Linked DNA regions of Ovis aries. The protein of the gene in region 2 purifies or fractionates together with the protein of the main gene of each other region. This does not show direct contact. Links are inferred from orthologs where the notes say so. Each region holds a gene or a part of one and is shown on either strand. Other genes may lie near its edges.

Region 1 (2,844 bases), on a different chromosome or scaffold from region 2:
AGGAGTGGGAGGAGAGGAGGAAAGTGGGGATCTGGAAGGACCCATAGCTGAGGGTGGATCTCTCCTAAGGTTTGGCAGAAACACCCGGGGCTCCTGGAGCAACAAAAGACTGAGTCCCCGAGCTGGAGAGGGGCTGAGTTCCCCCTTCTGGAGCCTGGCTGCCCCTCAGCGCTTCGGGAAGAAGTGACGTGTCATCTGAGGTTTGCATTCAAGGCCCACACCCCAAACTGCCATGTGTCCCCTGCGAATAAAGCTGTCTGGCTTCTGAATCCGTGTGCACGTGTCTGCATCATGAGACACAGGAGGGAGTCCCAAGACAAGAACCACAGCCTCCCCCACCACCACTAAACCCAACTCTCCAGGAACACAGGCGATGGTGTACCCAGATGTCAGTGCACCCACCAGAAGGGCAAACATGGGGACGCGTGGGGAGCAGAGTGGGAGGCACACCGGGGACGTGACCTGGCGCTAACCCCCTCCACTGCTGACCACTCAGGGAAACAGACCAGGACTAAAGAATCCAAAAAGCAGCACATTTATTTGGGGCTCTTAATGGGAAAGCCCCCAGTTTCATTCCCCTTGGTCATCACCAGTTACATGACGGCAGAACCTGAGCCAGCTGAGGCCCTGTGGTCCCTGGCTCCTGGCCCTGTGCCTTCTTCAGCCTGCAGTCTGTGTCAGAGGTAGAGGTGGCACCTCCAGGGGGTACCAGAGCTGGGCAGGCTCACAGGCCGGGCGCAGGAAGAGCAGGGAGCAGAGGATGTATTTCATGAGTCCTGCCGTGGCTTCACTTGCTGCCCGCCATGATCTTGAGGTACTGCAGGGCACGGCGCGCAGCCTCGCCACGGGCTGCCTCCCTGGTGGCTGCAGAGCCATGGCACACGGTGGCTGGCTGTGTGGACAGCTCCACCAGGCACTGGCAGAGCCCACTCAGGCTCAACTCCTCTGGAGACCGAGAGAGAAGAGGGAGGCAATGTTGGGCAGGAAGGCAGCACTGGGGCGGGTCCATGTCACTGTCACGCCCTCCCAAGCCCTCATTCCCATCCATACTTGCTCTGGTCTAGTCCCCACCGTCCCCCGGCCCCCCGACTAGCCATACCAATATCCAGGTAGCTGACATGGAAGGCCTGCTCCTCAGAGAGCTCACTGAGGACACTGCAGCAGGCAGGGCCCAGAGCGCCCAAGGAGCCCAAGGAGCAGCTGCGGAGGGACAGGATCCTCTCTCCCACTGAATTCCGCAGAGAATCCCAGGTGCAGCCTGGGCCTCGGTTCCGAAGTCCATCTAGGCGGGAGCCCACACCCTGACAAGACAGGGACGGGGGAAGGATGCAGCCAGGGGCTCTGAAACCAGGCCCTGAAGAGACATTCCATGCCCAAGGAGAAAAGCCCAAAGAATGCTTCCTCCTGTTTGCTTCCCACCTGCCAGTCAATCCCTGGATTGTTTGGTCTCTAAGTCGTGCCTGACTCTTCTGCAACCCCACAGACTGTAGCCCACTAGGATCGTCTGTCCATGGAATTTTTCAGGCAAAACTACTGGAGTGGGTTGCCATTTCCTCCTCCAGGGGATCTTCCTGATCCAGGGATTGAACCTGTATCTCCTGCTTGGCAGGCAGATTCTTTACCACTGAGCCACCCAGGAAGCCCAATCCCTGTGTGGCCCCTTCTAACTACTAGACTGTGGACCAGATGGTCAGGCAACCTTTCTATTCCAATAACAGAAGCCTCAGGTCCCTTGCCCTGGGCCAGCTCCCTTCCCCAAAGCACTCACCACGCAGCCCTACAGCTGAGGCTGAAAGGGGGCCCAAGGATCCCTGGGTCCAGAAGGAAAATGGGCAGAAGGAGGTCTGGGGCCCAGGAAGCTCACTTCCAAGTCACAGACCTGAGTCCTCAGTGCCCTACCCTGGCATGAAGGATGGAGCACGGGGCATGGCCCAAAAGCCACTCACAATGGAAAAGTGATCGTCTTCGGGCTCTGCCTCGTTCCCGTCCCGGGCATCCAGAGGCACTGTGTGCACTCGAAGAAGCATTTTGGCCGCTGCGTTACGCTTTGCCAGCTTTTTGGACGTGCCACTGCCTGCACAGGGGAGAGGGCTGCTGAATTATGGTTCCCAGTAGACCCATTGCTTCCACCCAGCTTAAACTTGGGCTGAGGGTCCCCTCAGTGGCTGTCAATTGAAAAGGGGAACTCAGGATCTGCCAGGCACCCAAGAACCCGGCTGGCCAGAAGAGGAGGGCAAGAAAGGGCGCAAGGAAGCAGCAGCCAAACCAGGGTCTCAGCCAGGAGCGTAGAGAGAAGCTGGGAGCTGCCCCTGGCCAGGGCTGGAGTGCTGCGGGGTAGTCACTACAAGCACTCCCCTCCGCCCAGTTACCAATCTCAATGAAACGCTCCACTCGGCAGGTCATAGTAAACTCTTTGCGGTGGGCTGGCCCAGACTCCTGGGTCACCGTGTACTCAGGCAACCGCCAGCCTTTCTGCACCACCAGCTCCTTGGAAGGGAGAAACAAGGGTGTGCAAGAGTGTGTGAGAGAGGAGTCCTCACATCCCCCCCACTCCCGTCCCGGAGTCTCAGGTTCCAGGTTAGAGGAGGAGTGAAGGGAGGTGGGTGGGGAAAGCCCTCAGAACAGGGTACCTGGCCCCTATCAGCTTCCCCCACAGCCCCAGGTACAAGCGAAGGCAGGCAGGCAGGGGGAATGAGGATGCAGCCCACCTGCAGGGCGCCGACCGGGTTGCACTCAGACTGCTGAGGAGAGACTGGGGGCTGCGCCTCCATGGGGGAGCTCCTGAAGGAAAAAGGGCCCAGGGCCAAAGCTGAGGGGACTGGCTCCTTCTGCAGCTGCCCAGGA
Region 2 (3,566 bases):
ATCTAAAATCTTCCACTTCAGACTGTGCTGGACCATGAGTGACTACTGTGTGTCGGACTTCATGTTCAACATTAGAAATACAGATGAATCAGATATGATCTGACCATTGTATAACTTGTTTTTCAAATCTTTGGCTTCACTCTTGAGCCCTGTGTTGCCTCTGCTTTCCCGTGAGTGGCAGGAGTGTTCACAGAGGCTGGAAAGGAATGAAGTCAAGTCTGGCCTTGTGCATGGTTATAGGTCTAGAAAGGTGTTATTGAATGCTGGACTATGACACCTCTTTCCCTTCCCCCAAACAGGTTTCCTCTGCAGCTAGAGAGTGGACAGACTGTGGAGTGCACAGTGGCCCAGTATTTCAAGCAGAAATATAACCTGCAGCTCAAGTATCCCCACCTGCCTTGCCTGCAAGTTGGCCAGGAACAAAAGCATACCTACCTGCCCCTAGAGGTGAGGCTGCCAAGTAATGGCCGGGCTGGGGAACAAGCATTGTACCTGCACACAGATCGTCAGAGGTCTGTTCTTCCATTTATAGTCTCATCATTTTAAGGCTTGGAAAAGTGATATTCTGAGAGGTCATTCTGTGAAATGCAGTCATCATTCTAAACTGCTGAATTCTTTACTTATCCTCATCCTGCTCTCATGGTTTTTCAGGACTTCCAGACAGAGGCGAAGCTATATGTATTTACTGTTTAATAAGTAATTAGTCATTCAGGACAGAGATTTCAGATACCTGCACACGTGTCCTTTATTTATTTATTTATTTTTTGATTTCTGTATGGCTTTATTTATAGTTGACATACAATAAACTGCACATTTCAAGTGTACCATTTGATGCGTTTTGACATCCCTACAATAAAGATAATGAACACTCTAAGATACACTCATGTCCTCTTAATTTCTCTTTCCCTATCTGGAGCTGGGAATCCTAAATAACCTAAAGATACAAATGTACTTTATTTTACAGATATTGGAGGTGAATGTTACCTGTAATGGAAATCCTATTTCCCCAGTCATCAATGTGTTCCCTTTGAAAAAGTTTTAACCAAGATTTGTCATATTTTTATGCTTCAGCCAACCTTTGAAATTCTGCAATTAAAGAAAGAATAGTAATGCTCTAGTCATAGAATGCAAATGAAGAACCACTAGTCTGCATTTGGTTTGTTATATACTAGCCATAATGTTTCGGAGAAGGCAATGGCACCCCACTCCAGTACTCTTGCCTAGAAAATCCCATGGACGGAGGAGCCTGGTGGGCTGCAGTCCATGGGATCGCGAAGAGTCAGACACGACTGAGCGACTTCCCTTTCACTTTTCACTTTCATGCATTGGAGAGGGAAATGGCAACCCACTCCAGTGTTCTTGCCTGGAGAATCCCAGGGACGGGAGCCTGGTGGGCTCCGGTCTATGGGGTCGCACAGAGTCGGACACGACTGAAGCGACTCAGCAGCAGCAGCAGCCATAATGTTTAGGTGTTCCCTGTTGGCAGCCAGAATGTCTACTGAGAACCTACCTCTGACTGCTTCATTGTCTAGTCCAGTGCCTCTCAGAGTGTGGTCAGCAGACCAAGAGCATAGTTATTACCTGAGAGCTTGTTTGAAATGCAGAATCTCAGGTTCCACCTAGGCTTGCTGTATCAGTATCTCTTTTTACAGAATCCAAAGATTCTGTCAAATATGAATGTTTATGTTGACGAAGCACTAGCCTAGAGTACTGTCTTATTCTCTTCTAGCACTGGGGGTCAGATATCTGGGACCTAAGCCTTCTGTGAGCTTTTGGGATTTCAGAACTAACCAGAGGAAGTTTGGCTGAGGGAGAAAGAAGAGATCCCCAAACCTAAGAACGCTGACATAGTTAATAGCTGCTGATGCATAGAAAATGAGGTGAGGACAGCATGTTCTCTGAGATGGAAGCAGAAGTCTTTAGGGGCAGTTTCAGCTAAGTAGATAGGCTTTAGGTAATAGCTATTGCAAGCTGAGATCTGTTAGCAAATTGACATGATTTCTGTTTAAACAATAGTTTCCATGGTGAATAACTTATATAATGACATATTTTGATTTTTACTGTTGCTTATTTATTTAACAAATATTTATTGAGCTCCTGTTAAAGTCATATACTCCGAGGTGCCAGGAAGGCAACAAGAGAAGCAGGGCTCTTACTGTCATGGAGCTTAAAATCTAGAAGGGGGAAATAGACAAATAAGATAGTTTCAGATGGTGATAAGTACCATAAGGTTAAGGTGAGGTGAGGTGAAGTCGCTCAGTCGTGTCCGATTCTTTGCGACCCCATGGGCTGTAGCCTACCGGGCTCCTCCGTCCGTGGGATTCTCCAGGTAAGAATACTGGGGACAGTCATAAAGTGGAGGGGGTTGGAGATTCACTTTAGTTTTTGTGGTCAGGGAAGGCTTCTTTTAGGAGACATTTGAGCTGAATCCCAAATTATGAGATAGAACCAATCTTTTAACAACCTGAAGGAAGAACCTTTCAGGCATGAGTTTAATAGCAAGTACGTAAGCAGCAGAGAGCTTGGATATTCTTGAGAGAGATAGAAGGACATAGTGACTGGCATGTAGTTTATGAGGAGAAAAGTAGGAGATGATTTTGGAGAGAGGTACAGGGTCAAATCATACAGGCTATTGTAGGTGATATATTTTTTTCAGAATAGCTTTATTGAGACGTAATTCGCATCCCATAAAGTTTGCCCTCTTAAAATGTACACTTCAGTGGTTTTCAGTGTATTTACAGAGTTACATAATCATTACCATCGTGTGATTCTAAAGCATTTTCATCATCCTTCCCCCAAAGAAAGACCAAACCCATTAATAGTCACTTAGCATTCCTTCTGTCCTCCACACTAGCCCCTACTAATCTCTAATCTGCTTCTGTCTCTATGGATTTGTCTGTCCTGGACATTTCATACAAATGAAATTATGTAATACATGGCCTTTTTAAACTGGCCAGTTTCACTTAGCATAATGTCTTCAAGGTTCATCTACATTGTAGAGTATGTCAGAACTCCCTTTTTAAGGTTGAATAATATTTCCATGTATGTATGTAACACATTTATTGATGGATACTTGGGTTGCTTTCACCTTCTAGCTATTATGAATAATGCTGCTGTGAAGATAGATGTACAAATATTTGTTCTAGTCCCTGCTTTCGTTTCTTTTGAGTACATACCCAGAAGTGGAATTACTGGATCATATGGTAATTCTGTGTTTAATTTTTTGAGGACTCACCATACTGTTTTCCACACAGGTGTACCGTTTTACATTCCTACCAGCAGTGCACAAGGGATCCAGTTTCTCCACATCTCTGCTTTTTTTTTGCCTTGTGTTGATTCTGTAATTGAAATTATCTGCACCTTTAAATTGCCTTCAAGAGAGCAACCTTACAAATTTTAACAATTCTGGGTTTTCATTAAGTAAATTGACTAATGTGTATTCTTTGAAATACAGAGTTTAAGGGTAGATGACCTTGTCCTGGTTTTCCCTACCATTGTTCACCATGAACTCTGGAAATTAGGCAGAGAATCAGTACTTAGAGTATTGGCCCTATGGGAGCAAGTTT

Evidence for each region. The genes of interacting proteins can lie anywhere in the genome.
Region 1: the proteins of protein argonaute-1 (region 2) and TARBP2 purify together in Homo sapiens (co-immunoprecipitation; 4 studies listed by BioGRID and IntAct, with this or other methods). This does not show direct contact. The link is inferred for Ovis aries from reciprocal best matches to the Homo sapiens genes AGO1 and TARBP2.

Annotation. Positions count from the first base shown.
Region 1 is NC_056056.1:133,004,811-133,007,654, forward strand, and holds the end of TARBP2 (RISC-loading complex subunit TARBP2), read right to left. Parts: intron 2,782-2,844; coding exon 2,709-2,781; intron 2,488-2,708; coding exon 2,370-2,487; intron 2,075-2,369; coding exon 1,947-2,074; intron 1,302-1,946; coding exon 1,100-1,301; intron 946-1,099; coding exon 788-945; 3' UTR 520-787; downstream 1-519. Other genes in the region: NPFF (pro-FMRFamide-related neuropeptide FF), read left to right, coding at 70-187. UniProt on the Homo sapiens protein: Required for formation of the RNA induced silencing complex (RISC). Component of the RISC loading complex (RLC), also known as the micro-RNA (miRNA) loading complex (miRLC), which is composed of DICER1, AGO2 and TARBP2.
Region 2 is NC_056054.1:10,833,129-10,836,694, forward strand, and holds part of protein argonaute-1, read left to right. Parts: intron 1-299; coding exon 300-447; intron 448-3,566.